Linked DNA regions of Arabidopsis thaliana. The protein of the gene in region 1 interacts with the protein of each later gene in a pairwise test. Each region holds a gene or a part of one and is shown in the gene's direction. Other genes may lie near its edges.

What was found.
Region 2: the proteins of AT2G42360 (region 1) and AT2G22180 interact in a protein complementation assay, tested with the Arabidopsis thaliana proteins (one large-scale study listed by BioGRID).
Region 3: the proteins of AT2G42360 (region 1) and WAT1 interact in a protein complementation assay, tested with the Arabidopsis thaliana proteins (one large-scale study listed by BioGRID).

The regions. Positions count from the first base shown.
Region 1 is NC_003071.7:17,636,842-17,643,350, forward strand, and holds AT2G42360 (RING/U-box superfamily protein), read left to right. Parts: upstream 1-3,956; 5' UTR 3,957-4,065; coding exon 4,066-4,776; 3' UTR 4,777-4,949; downstream 4,950-6,509. Other genes in the region: AT2G42340 (uncharacterized protein), read right to left, coding at 46-306, 727-781; AT2G42350 (RING/U-box superfamily protein), read left to right, coding at 2,404-3,057; AT2G42370 (uncharacterized protein), read left to right, coding at 6,493-6,509. UniProt on the Arabidopsis thaliana protein: E3 ubiquitin-protein ligase able to catalyze polyubiquitination with ubiquitin-conjugating enzyme E2 UBC8, UBC10, UBC11, UBC28, UBC29, UBC30, UBC35 and UBC36 in vitro.
Region 2 is NC_003071.7:9,425,267-9,432,302, forward strand, and holds AT2G22180 (hydroxyproline-rich glycoprotein family protein), read left to right. Parts: upstream 1-3,476; 5' UTR 3,477-3,702; coding exon 3,703-4,578; 3' UTR 4,579-4,875; downstream 4,876-7,036. Other genes in the region: AT2G22160 (Cysteine proteinases superfamily protein), read right to left, coding at 1-194; PLAT2 (Lipase/lipooxygenase, PLAT/LH2 family protein), read right to left, coding at 1,744-2,220, 2,402-2,476.
Region 3 is NC_003070.9:28,335,565-28,344,040, reverse strand, and holds WAT1 (Walls Are Thin 1), read left to right. Parts: upstream 1-3,765; 5' UTR 3,766-3,949; coding exon 3,950-4,164; intron 4,165-4,261; coding exon 4,262-4,324; intron 4,325-4,401; coding exon 4,402-4,518; intron 4,519-4,777; coding exon 4,778-5,198; intron 5,199-5,292; coding exon 5,293-5,444; intron 5,445-5,557; coding exon 5,558-5,759; 3' UTR 5,760-5,853; exon of another isoform or gene 5,854-6,259; 3' UTR 6,260-6,315; downstream 6,316-8,476. Other genes in the region: AT1G75490 (Integrase-type DNA-binding superfamily protein), read right to left, coding at 7,376-7,996. UniProt on the Arabidopsis thaliana protein: Required for secondary wall formation in fibers, especially in short days conditions. Promotes indole metabolism and transport (e.g. tryptophan, neoglucobrassicin and auxin (indole-3-acetic acid)). May prevent salicylic-acid (SA) accumulation.

The DNA.
Region 1 (6,509 bases):
AGAACACATGAAACAAAGGGATGAATTAAGTGAGAAGAAGTTTACTCTGCAGCTTAGAGGCTTGTTTCTTCATCTTCTTCCTCGTTGATTTACTACTTACATCTGCAGCACTCGGTGGTGGTGGTGGTGGTGGAACTTGTTGAGCTTCTTCTTCTGCCTTAATCAATGACTTCCAAATACTCGCAATCTGAGACTCGGTCAGATTCAGATTCTCTGTCAGCTTAGACACCACTTCTTCCAGACTTTTGAAATCACCCACATGATCCAGAATTTTCTCACTCCAATTCGCTTCGTCCGGATTGTAATCTATGAACAAAGAAACTCATGAATCATCACAAACAACGAGACCAGCAAATAAACCTCAACGCAGGATCCAGAATCCATAACAACGCAAAAAACGGAACAACGAGATTTTAGATTCCAAAATTCGCGGAAATCAAATTGATTTTCCTAATAAAAAAGATTATTAATCTTCATAACACTCAATCAATCACCAGAAATAATCAATTTCTCCTCCGGAACAATCAAATTGATCACCAGAAATTATCAATTTCTCCACCGGAAAAATCAATCGATCACCAGTAAAACCACGCCAAATCCATGAAAACGCAATGAAACAGAACGGATTTACAGAAATGACTAGCATAAACGAAACGCAGAAAAACTCTTAGATCCAAAACGCGAAACTCATAACTGATTCGTTGGTTGAGAATCTAGATCGATTACCTGGAATTTGATTCCGAGAAACTGAGAAACAGAGAACGAACGGCGTTTTCTCCATCTTCTGTAACTGAGAGACCTTGGGATGCGAAGAAAAAAACGATCGGAGAAGAGAATGAGCAACGGATTTCTTCAAGCTACTCTGCGTTTGCCGCTATCATCTGTTTTCGAATTCCCTCCCTCTCTACGCCACAAAATATATGGGCCTTGCTTTGGTGTCCCTTTTAGCCCATTTTAATTCACATCAACCCAATTAGCAACCCCACAATTAATTTCGGTTTTCTTTTTTTTTTATAGATTTATTTAATTCTATTATATTTCTTCTCAAACCATTTTAGTTCTACTATCCTTATTCTTGATTATTATAAAACCAACAACCAAACACACTTTTAACATTATATATACTTATCAAAACTAATATTTTCGATTCTCAAATATTTTTAGTTTATATTTATATGCATTGAAAATTTCAATTCGAAAGATATTACTTTCTAATCTACTAAAAATTAAAGTAATTATTTATATGACAGAATCTTTATAAAAATCTAACAAAAAAAATGAGTTTTGACATCCCAAAATAAATGATAACATATTATATTTTCTTATTAATCATTTTATTATAATTGGGATCCAACAAACATCAACATTTTATTCTTTGAATTACAATGTTTATTATAATTATCTTCAGAAAATGGTAAGAAACTTATAATATATATATATATATATATAAGTATATTTATTAAACTAAGTTGTTTATACATATATATACCTTATAAGATACTCAAAACCTATAAAAAAATTTACCCACAAAAAAAAAACATAAAAAGGATAATCAAACTACACCTGATTACGGGAAGGTTTTTGGTTTCATAGTTCTTTTTATGTACATAAAAAAAATGAGACCCAAATCCAGTGAGATATGAAAAGTACAAATATCTTAAATGAGAAAAAGTCATTATTTCATTGTTAATTATAATTTTAAAAAGATAAAATATAATATGTTTTGAAGATATATCATCAAAATACAATGACTTTTTTCCTACAAGTATATACAAGGAAACAAAAGAGCTAACGTGTGGAAAAAAAAAAACAATTAAAAAGAGAGTTGAATTTTTAATATATTCACACAACTTGTAATAGATTAGCATGTTTGTCTACTTCGAATACTCTTCTTCAAGTCAAACCATATGATTCTCACACGCAGCCTCGCTCCATACCTCACGTTATAACTTTAAAATTTCGTATTTTCTTGACTATGCTCCATTTACATTAAGTCCTGTCATATTATTGGGAGAAATTGTATCATCATATATCTAGAATTCTCATATACACTGTCGACATGTTATGTATTACGGTATAAAGAATATTGCAATCCTATATTATTATTTTTTGAATTTCCAAAGTTTAATTTAAAATTAAGAAAATGATAACAAATCCGAGTAAAGTCAACAATTTCCTTCGAAAATTTATGAGTATTCTGCTGCCTATTTTCTCACACCCACCAATCATATTGTATGTCCCTTGAATCCAAGTAATAGCTATGAAGAATAAACAAAAGTAGAAAAAATAATAAAAAACAATTTAATTACACAACATGAGATCCATTCAATCTATTAGTAACTTGTTATTAGATTATAGTAACCACTTTCTGTCTCTTGTTCTACCAAAACAAAACGCTTCATCATGAGCTCTAACAACAAAACTGATGATTCCGACGACCGTTCTTTCTGGCAAAACTCGACTTCTTACGATGCCAGCAGCAAGATTTTCCTCGTCACCACCGTTTCCTTCTCTATTATTATCATCATCGTGTTCGTTTATTATCTCTACGCAAAATTCGTTCTCCACCGTAGATCAGCCTTCCAAGACCTCTCCTTCTCTGTCGTTTCTCAGCCGCCAAAACGTGGCCTCGATTCTCTAGTCATCGCTTCTCTCCCAACGTTCGTGGTTGGAATCAAGAATGACGTGGCGGGTACGGAATGTGCGGTTTGTCTAAGCTTATTGGAGGAGAAAGATAATGCAAGGATGTTACCGAACTGCAAACACGTGTTCCACGTGTCTTGCGTTGACACGTGGCTCACCACGCAGTCCACTTGTCCCGTTTGTCGAACTGAAGCCGAGCCAAGTCATCCAAGGCTTGAGCCTGAGCCTAGGGAAGGGCCAGTTGGCGACTTTGCACCGCCGTTAGATTTCGCGGGGGTTGATAACAAAACCGGCGGATCATCGGTTTCGAGGTTAGACTCGTTCCGGAGGATTTTGACAAGGGAAAGATCTTCGAACAGGCGGGATCATTCTCGCGTTGACCAAGATCGTGAATTGGATATTGAAAGACAGTGAATTCAGTATATAGTATATACACACATACGCCGGTTAAAAAAAAAAAAGTATAAACACACATGCATCCATAATTAATCCTTAATTCATGAACCATAATACTTCTTCTTCCTTTTAACTTTTTATTCTTGTACTGAAATCTTTTGTATGTGTAAATATGAATGGCACACTTTTTGTATGTTACAGTAATTACAAAAACATTGTTGCTTATTGCTTAACGTGTGAAAAGGGGAAAAGAAAAAAAGAAAGTTGAACTTGTAACATACAATCGAGACAATTTTGTTATTAAGGTATATCTAATGCGTGTGTGCCCTACATAGACGACTCTTCTTCAAGTCAAACTTTGTGGTTCCCACACGTATCCTCACAGGCTCACACGTTTTAACCTTTAATTTTCGTATTTTCTTGACTATATATATTATCATTTTTTGTTGACAAAATAAATTGTATTATCATATTTTAAAATTTTGATAGCAGTATCATATGTAACTCTAACATTCTATGTTTAGAGATGAATTTATCTATATATATCTACTTGGATAAACCAATTTGCACCATACTATTTGCAGCATATGAGACTAACTAACTCTTGATACACTGAAATGATGGTAGACAATTCAGTCTATATATGCGAGTTAACTCCTAATACCGTGAAATCATAATAGGCAAATTCAGTCCACAAATTTTTTACGTAGGATTTTGATATTTTCCACTCTTTATATATACAGTCTATAATCTTCAAACCTATCACCTATAAATAATCTACAATCTACCATTTAGTCAACAATGGTGAAATTTCTAAACCCTCGTGAAAGTCTACCTATCTCCCAAAGTTTCTAATTCTATCTACTTCACATTTTTCTCCACCCACCAACTAAAGTATAAGCCTTGGAAAAACAATCAAAATAAGAAATTCTATAAGTCCTTTATTCCTTATATAATAAATCATAAGTTAGTAAACTCTTTTGTTCACTTTTCTTTTGCATCCACCGAAGAAAAACCAGCTTCACAATGAGCTCCAACGACAGAGATCATCGCAGGTTCAACTCTGACCACCACTCATTCTGGCCTAATCCGTCTACTTACGATCTTAACAGCAAGATCATGCTTGCCGCAGTGGCTTCTTTATCTGGAGTTATCCTCATCGTCTTCGCTCTTCATCTTTACGCAAGATTCGTTCTCCGACGCCGTAGAGAAGCTTTCCGTGGCCTCCCCGTCATTTTCCGCCACCCTTTTGAGATGCCTAAGCGTGGCCTCAATCCCACAGTCATCGCTTCTCTCCCTACTTTCACTGTTGGAGCCACTGATGGCGTGGCTGCCTCCGCTACTGAATGCGCAGTGTGTCTAAGCGTGTTAAAGGAGCAAGACAAGGCGAGAGAGTTGCCCAACTGCAAGCACATCTTCCACGTCGACTGTGTTGACACGTGGCTCACCACTTGCTCCACTTGTCCTGTTTGTCGGACTGAAGTTGAGCCAAGACCGAGACTTGAGCCTGAGCCAAGGGAAGGACCAGTCGGTACTGCACCGCAGTTGTTGGTGGAAACCAGGCTGAACTTGACTGTAGAAGCCGCATCCTCTTCTTCCTCAGATAACAAAACAGTTGTATCCCCGGCTTCGCGATTAAATTCGTTTAGGAAAATCTTGACGAGGGAAAGATCTTCGAACAGGATCAACCATTCTTGTCCTGACCAAGATCGTGTGGCAGATCTTGAGAGACATTGAGTCGACATATAGATACATATTATGCATATAAATCATATACACATATCGATAATCTTTAATTTATACAATATCCTCCTTTCTTTTTTACTATATCATGCTCTGTTTTTGGTTTTAGATAGTTTTGTGTAACGGAACACTAAATATATGTTAGTCAAAAGATACATCTGGTGCAGTTCATGCCATTCAAGTTAACTATTCACAGTGGTAGACAGTACATATCAGGGCTCCATAAAAGATGCAGAACCATTTTAGTTACATAAAACTGAGGGAGAAGAGAGATCATAAAAGGGTTACCTTCAATCACCAATCGGAAGCTAAACCTGTTGGATAATCAGTGTCATTGTCACAATGTGGCCTAAAATGACGAAGGGTGACAACCAGCTGCTAAACATCCGCCTTGCTCGGCTCAATCTGAGAATTCTGGTGCAGTTGCTCCCTGCATTGAAGTGGCATCTGCGATACTTCCATTGCTCACTCCCTTACTGCACACCAGATTTCAACAGCATGAGTGTAACTATTACTATACTCAATGAAACGAAGCCTCATGGAGAATGAGAACATTTTCAAAAAAATTGCTTTAATAGTTTTTGAAACTTCTTCTATGTTCTGCAGTAACTGCATCATATTGATAATATGAACAATATAATCACCAAGATCAAAATCAATTGTCGAGGAGAAGTGAAGTAACTTCATCCTTCTAAGCCAGAAGCTAATGAAAAAAACAAAAAAAAGATTTCATTTCACTCAAAAGTTCAAAACCCATCAAACTAGAAATCATTTTCTAAAAGAACCTATGATGGATCAAAATTGCTCCAAACAGACTATAAATGAGACACACACACAAACGCTAATTGGCAATACAAATGTGGATTACTTAATTACCTTGAAGGAAACTTGCATGTTCCTTGACCTGAAAACGAAAAATTGCAGAAAAAGCATCAAACTTTCAACATTTTCAATTAGCAAAAGTCATAACTATCTGCTAGACATTGATCCTGAAAGAAAATGTGAACTTACTAGGATTGAGAGAAGTAACAGCTGCGTTGTTACTAAAGTTGCAAGCTTCATCTGCGAGACCATTCCATCAGATAATAGTTATTGAATACATACGAAGCCATCTTCACTATATCCAATGGATCGTAGCAGGATCCACCTTGCTGAATCTAGACGCAATCAGCTCCTCTGGGACCACAAGCCCAGTCAATGGCCGTTTAAAGTGTTGAATCCTCAACGTTGTTCTTCGCCACGCACCAAAGCTCCGTCTCTAATACCTCCCCACCAAACTCCGCAGTAGCAGCAACCGTAATGAGGAGAAATAGAGAGATTCATTAGGAAGCAGTGAGGCTGAGAGAGAGAATACACGATCATTTTCCGAGAGATTGATCGATTTTGTACTCGGAGATTTCGAAGAGGAGGAAGAGTGTGAATTTGAAAGAGTCGAATAGATGTTGGAGTTTGTTGTGATTAATGTAAAGATTTGGGTGAATAATGTAAAATATTTTAATTCTTACCGGTTATTGAACTCGGTTATACTGATTTGGGCCGTATTAAACTCCGGCCCATATACATATGGGCCTCTAATGAAGTGTTTTTAGCTGCTCTGTTTTTGATGACGGAGCATATTAATTATGGTTAATTAGTAAACAAAAAGACTCTTTAGCTCCTTAACCTTTTCAATTTCTGAAAGAGGAGGAGATCGGAAAACAAAACCCAGTCATGGATCCTCCGGCGAA
Region 2 (7,036 bases), 8.2 Mb from region 1:
ATTTTCTTGTGATCACTCATATCAAAACATGTGTGAGCGTTGACAAACTCGACGTCGGTCAAGTTTGCAAACTTGTTGAGCTTGAGCTTGTACGGTTTTCTCTCCTTGTTGGTTTTGACAATATATTCTGCATTTTTTTTAAATACATCGAAACTACTTTCTGTTTGGTGGATGGGCACAAGATAGTGGCCCATCCACCTCTTGTACAACTTTTCCAGACCCTCATCACTTTTTAGCTTTGTCTCATTGTATTTGTTCCATGAGCTTTTAGCTCTAGAATGAGAAGAGTAAACATAAGAATAATTAAGATATGCTTAGTCATTTTGTTTGATTTCTTCTTTTTGATTGTTTTTAGTGCGAGAGTTAAGTAGACAAACGAACACATTCATATATACTTGGTGGATCAAACTTTTTTCTTAATTGCACTGAATGTGTGCATGTGATCGTTAACACAAAAATAGACAATTATATAGTTAATGCTTTAACCTTAAATTAGTTTTTGTCTCAACGAAATTATTAGCCTATCATCTTTTTACGTACCAGTTAAGTCCAAAGAGGTATGAGAAATGAGATGAACATGCGATCATTAACTGTTTCGATGTATTTGAAGATTTTTATGATGAAACAATGTTTTCTCGTCTTTGAAAGCAATATCTTCAAAGTCTTACGCGGCAATTCAAATAAGTCTGTTATTACTTTGTTGCATCGAATCATGTGATCGTTAGTTTAAAGGATTATCACTAGGTTCACTACTTTATCATTTTCTTCATTGTAGTTTATATGACATTTAATTTTCTGTCAATTAATATGATTGAATAAAACCATTTTAATCTGTTTCTTCTAATTTTTATGAGAATCATAAATTCTTTCTTTTTAGACAGTTACTATTATTAAGAAAGAAAAAAACATGTTCTAGGGGGATGGAGATTAGACATAAATATTTTGACCTTAACGAAGTCTTTGTAAATAAATATTATACAATCAGTAATTATCTTTTAAAGGCATATTGTCTATTTATTTTATGTCTAGCTTGTATATTGCTTTGTGGTTCTATAGATTATGTGTGCAGGGATGATCTTTTTCAATTTTCATTGAGGAACTTATTGCTCACACCTTCTTTTATAGATTTAAAAGACGATTAGGAGCATAGTGAGATTTATATGGTGCCTTAGGAGGAATTTTAAAGTCATTCATTTGATAATGGTTTTCAGTTATTAGTATGACCCAAAGAAATGTTCCGTTTCAACCAAATGTCACTTAATTAGGAGGTTTAGGCCAATACCAATTAATGTCGTTGATGTTTCTTACAAAATTGTAAGTTTCTTGTTGACTTTTTGAACATGCACAAAAATGATTAAAATTGTGAAGATCCACTCTGTATTAAATGTTTAAAATTACATCGAAAAATGTGAAAAGGGCCCATCTTTTATACTATTTGGCAAAGTTTTGATTAATCATAAGGTTGTAGCTTTGAACGTTTATTTGTGAAAATAAAACGAAACAAAGAAACTATATCAACCAGTAATTATCTTTTTTTCTTTTTAATATGATCAGTAATTATCTTTTAATTTCATCACACGAAAAACTTAATAATGTTTGATAAAAATCTCACAAACAACAAAGAACGGAACTTTTATTCGATCGAATCATTTTCATTATTGCCATCACACGTTCACAAGACAACAAAGAACAACTCTCCAAGTTACACACACACATACACATTTGACATTTCATTCACTACTCTCACACGATCCAAGAGAGAGTCTTCCGGATCTCAGACCCGACCCGACCGACACTTTCCCTAAGCGAAACTGGACAGTTATTCCGAACAGCACTGAGCTCATACGGCGATGTATCGGACGCAAGCCATTGCTCAACATCAAAGCTTTGGTACGAGCACTTTGCATGAACTCCGGCTGTCGTGACTTCCACGTAGTTAACATACCAACCGTGGTGGTCACCGGAGCCGTCAGAGGTCAGATTTAATGAACAGACTGGGCTCGGAAGACATGGTGCTTTCCCACTGAAAATGTCGAGATTACCCCTCTCGTAGTAGTTGTAACCTGGTCCCATTAAACCACCCCATGCTTCTAGGTTTCGGATCCCGATGTAGTCTCCGTATTTGTCGTAGACTCTAGCGCTTATGATCGAATCTGTACCGGCTTTGAAGGTTGATCCGGTTCTAAGGAAGAATGTGTAGACACAATCTGCTTCATCGTCCTGTGAAATCAAGAAAGTCATTTTTTTAAATGGGAAGAAACAGAAGTTTGTAGTCTAATAGTTTAAACTAATGTCATTGATGTTGTGTCATTATATACATATTCAAATCTGGTTAATGTGTGTGTCTAGTTCTAGACAAAATCATATATGAGAGGAAGCAAGTCAGATTTGGAAAACTTACGGCTAATGCGACAGCGGAGACGGTGGCGATGACGAGGAGGAGTGAGAGGAAGAGGACGTCACGGCGAGGCATCATCGGTGATATGGATGTATAAGAAAGAGAGATCTAGTCTATGGAAATATTAATAGAAATGTTGAAAATGCTAAAGTATATGAGAGTTTAGATTTCAATGATTTAATTATCGTCTGTTTTGGGAGTTGCGTATGAAGATGACGTGGTCGTTTTTGGTCCGTTGGAATGAGTAAGAAATAAGAATAAAAATACTTAAGGATCCTATAAGCACGTCGTTAACTCGGCGGACAGGTCGGCATGGGTTGTCAGATTTCGAAAAAAATTGCATATTTTTTTTTGTCACAAACGCAAATCTTCGTGAGATACAATACAAATGCACTTCATTTTTCGCCAATTAGAATGTAATGTAACAGTTTCCAGTGTAATGCTCGCAACATAACATGTTTCACGTGGATTGGGGCCGGGGAAGAATTAGAGAAACATTAATTTTTGTTTTTGCTTTTTGAAAGAAAACTTTCGACCATATGAAGGTAAGATTTCCTTTAATTTCCTTGATATTTTCATGTACATATGTTTGATTTATAAATGAAAATTAAGTGATTGTGTGTTTTTCAAAGAAAGAAAAATGAAATAAATTTTGGATAGTATTGTCAGCGAAGCAGCAACAAGGCCCACAAACATAATTTTGAATGGCCGGTTGCTGCGGATTAATGTGTGTAAATACATACATTCCGTTCATGTCAATCCCAACGTATATTCGTATATATGCATTTTTCGCTTTCTAAAGAAACAGAAGTTGCAAGAGAATTGAAATAAAAAACACTTTAATGAAAATTTGGTCCAGAAATACCACCCAAAAATGGTTTTAGTTCGAAACGTACAAAATAAAATAAGACTCGTTCATGATAAACATTACCAATATGTGCTAACCTTTTTAAGATTTTACTCATGTATGTCTTATATGCATATATAATTTATGTTAGAAAATCGATATCTTGTAAACAAAAAGTAACAACTTCGTTGATCATCATCAAATGCCATAATACTATATTATATGAGTTCTGTAATATAGTTTTCTAAATAACAGAAAAAGGGAAATTTAAGGTGAGCTGGCTAACTCTAAATAGCAAAATCTTCTCAAAACCAACCAAAAGTTTGAGTCATGCAACAACAACCACTTACTTTTCCCATGCAAACCCTAATTTTCGCATCCTCTCTTAATTCTCTCTCTTTCGTCTTCTCTGTAGACCAATCTCCACCACACATCTCGTAACTCCCACCTTTCTCCGATGGAGGGGCCACGGCGTCCTCCTTCCGCCACCGCCCCTGACTCTGACGATGACAAACCCGATGATCCTCCGTCCGTTTGGCACCGTCCAACCTCTAGCCTCCCCGCATTGCCATCTTTAGATCCTCCATCGCACGGTTCACACCATTGGCGTAATCATTCTCTTAATCTGTCTCCACTCCCAACGACATCTTCTCCGCCTCTTCCTCCTCCGGATTCAATCCCTGAGTTAGAGACGTACGTTGTCCAAGTCCCGAGAGATCAAGTCTATTGGACCCCTCCTCCGGAACATGCAAAATACGTCGAGAAACGCAGCAAGAACCCGGAGAAAAACAAAAAGAAAGGGTGTTCTAAACGTCTTTTGTGGTTCTTCATTATCTTGGTCATTTTCGGATTCTTACTCGGTGCAATCATTCTCATCCTCCATTTCGCTTTCAACCCCACTCTTCCTGTTTTCGCGGTCGAGAGATTGACCGTAAATCCTAGTAATTTTGAGGTCACATTAAGAGCCGAGAATCCAACGTCTAACATGGGAGTACGCTACATGATGGAAAAGAACGGGGTCGTTTCCTTAACGTACAAGAATAAGAGCCTGGGGAGCGGGAAATTTCCGGGGTTGTCCCAGGCCGCATCTGGATCCGACAAGGTCAATGTGAAGCTTAATGGGTCGACCAAGAACGCAGTTGTACAACCTCGTGGATCGAAGCAACCGGTTGTTCTGATGCTGAATATGGAGCTGAAGGCTGAGTATGAAGCAGGGCCGGTCAAACGGAACAAGGAAGTGGTGGTGACTTGTGATGTTAAGGTTAAGGGACTATTAGATGCGAAGAAGGTTGAGATTGTGTCGGAGAATTGTGAGAGTGAGTTCAAGAACTGACACTCGCTCTATATATATTTTATATATAACATGATTGTGTCGTTAGAGTTAACAATGTGCTTAATTAATTCATACTTTCTATGTAATGTTCAATTGTTCATTTTTTTTCCCTAATGTCTTTGTTTTTACTCTATATTGTTGAGCGACAAAAGAAAACGTGAACAAGAAGAACACAATAGAGTGAGCGTCTTTTTTTTTTTTTAAATGTACCTTTGCTTTTACAAATAAATTTAGTTTAGCCCAGATTACAAATAAACAGACTAGTCAGAACTTCTTAAAAACAGAAGATATAATTGGGCCTAAATGCAAAAGTAACATTTCACCTCCTAAGATTTTTCCTAGACCAAGTGTGTACAAGCAATACTCCGAAAACTTGATGGGATCATTCCCTCTTTTTTTTTTCTTTTTTTTTTTATCATTCTCTTTTTGATAAGATCATTCTCATTTCTCAGTGTTGTTAGTTTTATTATAGAAATGTAACTTACATTTTGGGAATAAGTGCCGTCTGTACATTTCTATTAGTTTAACTTTCTCTTTTTCTGTTGGAATGTAAAATTTAGCTTCAACAAAGATATTTATATTTTAATTAATAGAGAATTTCAAAAGTTTGAAAGAAAAGATAGACTTTTAAAAGAATGAAGATTGAAAAGAAACAAATAGACTTTTAGAAGAATGGAAGTTGAAAAGAAACAATCTTGATCAGTACTTCTTCCTTCGAGCCAACATCTAATGAGGTCGTGAAGACAAGTCATATTAAAATATAGGTGCGAGGAGACCCGATCTGTTATTTTGTCGATCACTAGAGCTGACGGTTTACTGTTTCGTACGGTAAAAATTGAATATAGTCATTACACTATCGCTCACAACAAACATAAGAGATAGAAGCTGAGAATTTTGATAGTGCCATTGACGAGGTGGGGTTGCATATGCATCCAATCAGGAGTGAGATGCGAGCTTAGTAGAGGACCACCAACTTAAGGCCACGTTTTGAAGGAGAAAGGACTCATAAAAATATATGATCTTTGGCTTCGTCGAATTCGCCATAGTCCATAGAGGTACTTGTCTGCGAATGCAACTACCCGTTTAGAGGCGAATGTGTTAATAAACGGAAATGCTTTGCGAGAATCTGGCCTCACCATCTTATTGTTCAATAAGTGGAATGTATTAATAAGAAAATACAAATTATGAAAGTTTATACAAAAATATTTTTATATTTCACCGCAGATTTCAAAATGCAATGTTCTTTTTTTTTTGTGCGCTAGTTATTTTAAATATACTTGATTATTTTAAAAAATCGAATATACATAAAGAATCATTTATTCTATACCCCTACCATCTACCAAGAAAAGGTTGAGTGGTCATTTTCGCGAAACCACAGTGGAGAAACAATAATTGTGTATAAAGATATTCCACTAGAAAGTGAAACAAATAGGTCCAATTATTTATTAAGGGCACCTTTGGACCATTTTCACAGTCCTAATTATGACAACAATATTGTTATCTTCTAGCAAGAATATAAAAAGACAAATTTTATAGTTTATTATAAAATGAATTCTTCATTTCGGGTAAAGGTTGGATATATAAAATTGTATAGAAACCAGTAATAATAGTTAGGATATCAAAGAACTATTTGATGTATGATGTTTTGCAAGACACTATATTCATTTATTCTATTTTTTTTTGTGAGCGTACCAAACAAATCAAATTAAATACTATTTTATGTATGATGTTTTGCAAGAGACTATATCATTCTAAACTAACTAGCTAATATTGAATTTCACACATTTTGGGATGAGCGCAGTATCCAACTCTATTTAATGCTTTAAAATTTAAACATTTGCAATCTTGATGTAAAATACAAACATTCTTTTATCATATAATTCCACATGGTCGGTTGGTTGGAACGCACGCCTAGGCCTCACTCTTATTTGTGTTTCTCTCTTTTCCTTCACACCACTACATTCGAAAGTTCCGATACAAAAGAAAATTTCCTTTTTTGTTACTTTAAATTTTGGTGTCTAAAAAAGTTGACTATCCAATCAAAAGACATTTAGAGTTTGCCAAAAGATTTTTGTTTTTAGTCCACCTTTTAGACATGTCACAGAAAATTATTATTCAAGTGAAGGGATTGGTGATCAATGTTTTTGCTCCCTATAATTTGGGCATCTAAGTCACATGCATCCCCATGTTACCAAGTAGTTTGGAACATCTCACAGATCAACATATACATTCATTTACTGAGTCAATACATTTAAAATTACATATAGTTTTAGGCTTTCTATGGCACTAGATAATTGAGTCAAATCAAGTTTTGTTAGAACCGTCTGATTTACTTGAATCTTCTCTCTCTATATATATAAACAAATATAGAAAAATAAAGAACGGAAGAGACATTAGACCATCCTTATTGCAAGTCTCTTACTATAAATCTTAGGTATAATATATAATCAAAATAATA
Region 3 (8,476 bases), on another chromosome or scaffold:
AGAGAAGAGAGAGAGATCGGAGACAAGAAGATTCGCTCGTGGGCGAGCAAAAATGATAAAGAAACGAAATAAAGTGAGGAAAAAGGAGACAAGGCAATTAAATATTCCAACTAAGATTGGTCTCCCTCTTCTTCTTCGTCTGCTCGTTACCGGTTACTATCTTGTTGGGTCCTTACCCGATCCGTTACTGTCTTGCTGGGTCCTTACCCGACCCGTTTCTTTACCCTTTACCGATTGAGAGAGATAGACTTAGATCGAATATCATCCTTTATATATCGGGATCTTCTTTTTCATCCTAAAAAGGGTTTTGTTTTCTTCCTTTTTTAACTAAATAAGGGTTTATCTTCTGTCACAAAGACCAAAAATGCTAATTAATTCCTTTTATTTGTATTTTAACTAAACACTTTTATAAGCACTACTGCACTAGTTCCGGAAATTGGGCTAATTAATAGTGAAACTTTAGTCTTTACCATCAATAATACGCCCTTCTTTTATAACAATTGATGTTTAGTGATCTTTCATATTCATTAAGGAACAAACTAAAAATATTTCATCCTACCATCTACTGATCTACAATAAATTAATTAGTGCCAGTGTTGTGAAATTTTGAATTAAATTTGACACCTTAGTTAATTATGAGTTCAGTGCTTGTTTCGCATAGGTAACAACGAATCATCATTTGAGAATGATATAAAACAACCTAAATATATGCAAGTGTAAATCATGAACCTACGTTATAGATCCTAATATAAACCATATATAATTAACAAACTAATATGTGCTGGATTTGGTATGTCCAGCTGGGTATGTCTTCATTTATCTCTCAAAATTTACTGATACTATAGCTAATAGCTATATCTGAAAAGAGTAATTCCCAATTTCAACATACAATAACAAGATATTCATCAATAAGATCACTTTTACTAGTTATGAACAGTACCTGGAGAAACAATTGATATTTTTCAATTATCTACCATACACATCATCGCGTAAATCAAACCCTCAAATTCTGAATGAATTAGAAGGAAAACTCATGCCAAGACCTCTGGCAAACTACGTATTTTTATTATGATGAAATAATCATTTACAAGAATTGTAGACAGATTTGGAAATCTCAGTATAGTTAATGAAGGGGTCTGCCTCGACAAATGGCATTATGGATACGGTTGAGCATACGTGTACCACTTGCACGGCCAGTTTCATCACATATATACATACTCCTTTGACCTTTCTTAAGTTTTTTTATTTATTTTAATTTAGGATTACCCCGAAACTACACCATAAAATTTGTTTTCAAAAAACGTCACAACCTTTTCTTGTAAGAAGCTTTTCTACAACTAATCTAGTAAGATTTTACAAAACTGTTTCGATTTTTTTTTAAAATGCTGATATCATTTTGAATGTCCCAAAATAATCCCTTCTTTAGGATTACTGGAAATGTTTTAACAAAATTGTTTTAGTGATAATGTTTGTAGCTAGAACTACAACTAGTTATTTATATATTTTGATAAATTTTTAATTTTGTAGGAACAATTTTCTATAAATGTAGAAAATATTTACAGAAGTATGATATTATTAGAAACAATGATTTCTTATACAATTAAAAAACATGTTTCGCTGTGTATTGAGATATTTTCTATTCAATTTTGATATGAATAGCATCTATGTCAAGAACAGAGGATACAAACTTTAGTTTAGGTTCATCGGGATAATGGTAGAATAAATATATTTTATAAAATAGAGCAATTAGATAAATTAGTGTAACGTGAAAGTATAACTAAGTTTAACTAGATGTATTAAAATGTTAAGGTAAATATCTTTGTTATTGTTCATAAAAAAAAAAGATTTTTGTAATAGAAATGGAATATAATGAAGTAATGAAAATTCCATATTGTTATATTTTGTTATGTTTTACATGTTGCTGCATATAGTTTATCTAAAACAGATTTGTGACAAAATAATATTCCATGAACAATTTTTGCCATGATATTTCTTTTGTCGTGATACATTCGTGGAAGGAAAGAAAAATACATATTTGGTTTGTTTTCACGTGGATATGCACATGTTTCTGTGTACAATTTACTAAATTGGTTTCTCTGGGTTTACATTGTCGATCTCTCCAAAAATAACAAGACAAAAAGAAAGAGAAAAATGAAAGCATATACAAGCAAGCAACCATAAAATTTTCGATGATTCTATTCTATAGGGATACAAATGTATTTGACTATTGGAAAACAATTACACACGTCTATTCGATGAGCACAAAAAAATAGAACTAAAATAAATTAACAAGAAAAATAAAACTAAAATAATTGAGGACAAATACAGATAATAATATTGGTGTAAGCGTGTACATAAATATTGATCGTGTGGGTGTGCCTGCGAAATAAGAGGTACTGTGGGTCTCACGGTTCGGCAGTGCGCGTGGGGCTCGTCCCTACAAAATTAATTATGTAACATAAATAAAATCAAGAAATATATTTACCAAAAAAGAAAGTAAATAAAAGATGTTAAAACGAAATGTCGTACATTTATAATTAAGAGTGTTATTCTCCTGAAGACTATACTGTACAAGTAATAATTAGTAGCAATGCCATGCTGCTCAATAAATATCAAAGGAAAGGACAAACTAAAACCATTATAATGTCTACGATAGTGAGTGCAAATTGAGGAATAGAGTCGTAAATAATGATATATTTTGTGCTTTTTCTATTGTTATTTTTACCTTTTTGATTTTCAGAATTAAATGATTTTAGATATACAAAAAATTAAGAATCATAATGATGGTTGCGTTAATGAGTAGTGGCGTGAGGGTTGTCATGTCAGCTAAACAGCAGAAAAATAAAAGAATGTGGGAGACAGGCTTTGCCCTTTTACACATTTTTAAGCTCTCTTCTTTATTTTCTAAAAACACTATAGTACACAGTTAAAAATTTGCGGGCCCTTTGTTTAATCGATTTAGATTTAACCAACAGCTTCATAGTCGTTTCTTCTTGTTAGAAATCAATAAATGAAAAGTTGGTTGTTTTGAAAGCATATAATTAACTAACAATGTATCATGTTGTGAAACAAAAGCTGATGATAAATGTTAAATATAGTGTCCAAAATTTTGGGAATGTCTTCAAATTTTGATTTTAAAACATATGAGATGTACCAACATCCACAAAATGTTTGTGAAGTTGTGACTTAGTGAGACGTTGTCACTTTATTATCTCGTTTTGGTAACGGTAAGTGCATGTGAACGTGTTTGATTATAAGTTTAACCCGACTTTGTTTACGTGGTCATAGTTTCCAATAAGGCTAAGTAGAATAGTGTATGATAGTTTTCAATTCAAGAGTCTTTTTTTTCCAAGAAAATCCGAAAACACAATCGTTTATTTTAATATCTCAAAAGAAATCATATTTCTTAGGTAAAACTATCATACGTTGAGTTTTTCTTTCTCCTTTTGCGATTTTCCCTGAAATATATTTATGTTGTGTGTGTGCTTTGTAAACAAAATAATAATGAACGTAATAATAGTAAAACAAAAAGTAACCTATATTATTATCATACTTGATATAACCCAATAGAGAAATAATAATATAAATTAAAATTTTATTTCCCAATTCAAAAATCATAATCAAGGAGTGAATGCTGCCAGTAGACCAAAGTAACAATATTTGGTGTGTACATCAAATGATAGGAAACAACAAAAACTCATTAATATACCTAAATCCATATATATATATATATATATATATTTCAATATTTCACATTGTTATAATTAGGTTTAATAGATACCATATTAGAAATCTCAGTATGGTGGTTCCCACAAGCAAAGAGGGGAATGAGATTGCTATCTACCTATATTTATATCTCCGCAACTTCACTCTTTTCCTCAATCAACACACACAAACACACACACACACAGCCTTTTTCCTTCGTTGATCGATTGTTAAGCTCGATCCAATGGCGGATAACACCGATAATCGGAGATCCTTATGGGGAGTTCCGGAGAAGCTTCAGCTTCACATAGCGATGCTGACGTTGCAATTCGGTTACGCCGGATTCCACGTGGTGTCTCGAGCTGCTCTTAACATGGGAATCAGCAAACTCGTCTTCCCTGTTTATCGTAACATCATCGCCTTGCTTCTTCTCCTTCCCTTCGCTTACTTCCTTGAAAAGTAACCTTCTATTTTCACTTCACTTCTTTATTTGAAAACCCTATTTTTTCTCTAGTTGCTAGTTATTTAATTACCAAACTTAATTGTGTTAATTTAGGAAGGAGAGACCAGCGATTACTCTCAACTTTCTCATCCAGTTCTTCTTTTTGGCACTCATAGGGTATATATTTATATCCTTCACTCTGATCTTTTCAATAACAAATTTGGATAATTAGTTAATGAATTATTACACGACAGAATAACAGCGAACCAAGGATTTTACTTGTTGGGACTGGACAACACTTCACCAACATTTGCTTCCTCCATGCAAAACTCTGTTCCCGCCATTACCTTTCTCATGGCTGCTCTTCTCAGGCACTTACTCTACACATCTCTCCATTTTCATTCTCTTTTGATTTATAAAAATAAATAACAATATTTTGGACAGCTTGGATATACAAGAACCACTTTAATAATGTCCATTTGACTTTTCAACGTAAAAGAAACGGATAATAATACACGTAGACAATATTTAATGCCGTTTCCATTTGCTTACAAAATAGTGATAATCATAGTAGTAACAACAATGTAACATACTGTTTATGTACTGTATGTGAAAAAAACAATAATTCAGGATTGAGAAAGTAAGAATAAACAGAAGAGACGGTATCTCCAAAATCTTAGGAACAGCTCTTTGTGTCGCCGGAGCTTCCGTCATCACCCTCTATAAAGGTCCAACCATCTACACTCCGGCTAGCCACCTCCACGCTCATCTACTCACCACAAACTCCGCCGTCTTAGCGCCGCTAGGAAACGCCGCGCCTAAAAACTGGACCCTTGGTTGCATCTACCTAATCGGTCACTGTCTCTCGTGGTCAGGCTGGCTTGTTTTCCAAGCTCCGGTTCTTAAGTCTTATCCAGCGAGGCTCTCGGTTACGTCTTACACTTGTTTCTTCGGAATCATTCAGTTCTTGATCATTGCTGCTTTCTGTGAAAGAGATTCTCAGGCTTGGGTTTTTCACTCCGGTTGGGAGCTTTTCACCATCCTCTACGCCGTTAGTTTTTCTTTCATCTGTTATAATTAATTCGTTTTTGGCCCTAATGTTTCAAAATAATCAATTTGGTCCTAATGAATTGATTTAACTTCAGGGAATCGTAGCGTCTGGAATCGCGTTTGCGGTTCAGATTTGGTGTATTGACAGAGGGGGTCCAGTCTTCGTTGCTGTTTACCAGCCTGTTCAGACTCTTGTCGTTGCGATCATGGCTTCTATTGCGTTAGGCGAAGAATTTTATTTGGGCGGGTATGAAACTATAATAATATTAGTGGTTTATATAAATACTTGATAAAATCCAAGGTCCTAAACAAGAATAATTTTAAAATTTGTTGTGCCACATGTCATATTTCTAATGGCAGGATTATTGGAGCGGTCTTGATCATAGCGGGACTTTACTTCGTATTGTACGGTAAGAGCGAAGAGAGGAAATTTGCAGCGCTTGAGAAGGCAGCGATCCAGTCCTCCGCGGAGCATGGTATTGAACGTGCACCTGTTTCTCGCAACTCCATCAAGTCGTCCATCACAACACCACTACTCCATCAGTCAACGGACAATGTTTGACTACTTTGGACAAATCACTCTCCAGCTAATAATTACAAATGCCATTACCCAATTAAAAGGGAACAATGGTGTGCCGTTGTGTTTTATGACTTTTGTGTCTGCTTTTTTTCTTAGTGTTTTCTCTTCTTTTTTTTTTCTAAAAAATTATTAATTACCTAAGAAAGGTTTTTGAAGAAAGGAAAAAAAATGGTGGATGAGACATCATTGTTCATGAGGATGATGATGATGATGATAGTGATGAAGAAGACTATGTGGGAGCTTTGGATTGAGACTTTTCTATATATAATATCTGGCTGATATATTAGTGCCATTTTTTCTTACATTTCTTGTGGGGTTTTTCTTTCCTTTATCATCAATAGAATGTTATAATTTGCATTTATGATCTTTAGTAATTATCACTGTCGGGGATGTTTAAAATGGATTAGATCAAACGCTTTGTTCTGAACTGAAGTAAAAAAAGATCTTTAGTATTTGATTAAAATGATCTCTTAAAGAAACAGTTTTTTTTTACAAATTTAGTTTATTATCAAATATCCAATAAAAATTCTTAACCGAATGAACAAGTTAAAAATAAACCAACATTTAATATATATAATATAATATGGACCAACTAAGTTATAGTATGGACCAATTCTTGAGTTGAAAGTCCATAGATTTTAACATGGTATTAAAGTTTAGCTAACTTGAGAAAGATGTGTTGTTCGATATATAATTTTTGGTCCAATATTAGAATTTTGTTTGAAATAGACGGATAAAAGCATTATTTTAAGGAGAACGTGTTAAAAATTTCACATATACACTTCAATGCTCTACATTATCTTTCTTGGTTTTCTCGGATCAGCTTACACGTCAGCTTTTTACATATAAAATATCATCTTTTAATTTGATGTAAACAAGAAGTTCATTAACAGAATTTCATATCTTATTTACCTTATACAAATAAATTTCATTAACAAAAGAAATTCATATACATAAGGAAAAACACAGTGCATAAGCGACTTTGTCTCATAATCGTTATCTGGCATAGGTTAGTCTACCATGTGGATTCAAGATTTCGTATTTGAATCCATTAGTTAAATCATATATAGCCCGTTATTGGAGACTGGAGACCATATATAAGCCGAGATATAATGATGTTGGGCCGGAATAAACGGGCCAGGTTTGTTATAAACCACGCCATATAGTCTATCAAGACTCGCGAGGATTACACGTTAGTACAAAGAGAAGCTAAGAAGAAGATGCAAAGAAAACCAAGAGAATAGTCAAAGACTTAAAAGCCCATAGAAACAGAGACATATAATAGTTACACATTGACCGTTACACACAACGTAACATCCCGTTTTCTTTATACAGATACATTGCACTTGATTTAATAGTTTTCCCCATGACACATTTTTAGCTTCGAGACAAACAACTGTCGTTTTTATGTTTTTTTTGATATGGTAAGAATCTGCTTTCACACTATACAGACAAACCACATATATAGATGTGCACATATATAAGTACATGTAACTGGTGTTTATTTACATATATATCCTAGTTCACGGTGACTATATTTGTATATATATGTAGTTTGTATATGATAACTTAACAATTAAAGAGAGTCTAGTGACACCTCAAAGTGGGGAATGAAAGGAATCCCAATTAGAATAGCCACCGGAAATACAAGTATCAAACCGAGAAATATCATTATCTCCTTCATGAACCCATGGAAATCCTAACGACATTGTAGCTTCTTCCCATATTGAAGAATCATCCATTACCGGCAAATCCACGTTTATATGCTCCCATGATATCTCCTCTGTCACTCTTCCACATGATGACATCTCGTTGGATGAACACGGCGACTCAGAGTCGCTGCTGCTTTTTCCACCGGTGTTGCTGCTTGGTGTAGTCTGGGACGCCGGAGACGACGCCGTTTTAGGGTAACTTCTTAAGGACTCAGGGAGGTTGAGATGAGCCTCAGGCCCATAGAGCTTACGAGCTGCGGAGTCATAAGCCAAGGCAGCTTCACGGGAGGTGTCGAAGGTACCGAGCCAAAGACGAGCTCCTCGGTTAGGCTCGCGGATCTCAGCGACCCATTTGCCCCAAGTGCGTTGTCTAACACCTTTGTAAGTGCAAGACGCGTTATCGGGTCCACCTTTTCCTCTCATACAACCTTTCCTCGAACTAGCTTGGACGGTTCGTTGTTTCTTATTAGCACCAACCATCATTACTTTTGGCTCTATGGATGACATGTACGGATGTTGATAACTCGAAAGTGATATTATGTGACGACTTTTGGTGAGTGATAAGGCAAAGACATGAGGTAATGGTTAGGTGTGTATATATACTAGAAGAGAGTGATGAAACGTGGCGAGGAGAAGATATAGCTGGCGCAGACATGACGGAGGGTCGTGTCGAGAGGAGGAAGCTGGTGTTGTGTTTGTAATCCTAACACTTGTCTCGAGAGACCCTTCTTTTTTTGGCAACAGTAATCGTAAAACCAGCAGAGAGATTGATGAGTTTGAGATTTTTCCAAAAAAAAAAAGAAAAGAGAGAGAGAGATATGGATAAGGTCATCCGCGATTGGGGAAATATAAAAAGATTTATCACTATGAATTAATGGCTCGTCATGTGAATGCTTCTATCTAATATCAAGCTATGGCTTTATTCATCAGAAAACAAAATCAAGCTATGGCTTTAACTTAATTATAATTTCAAATAGCTAAAAAGAA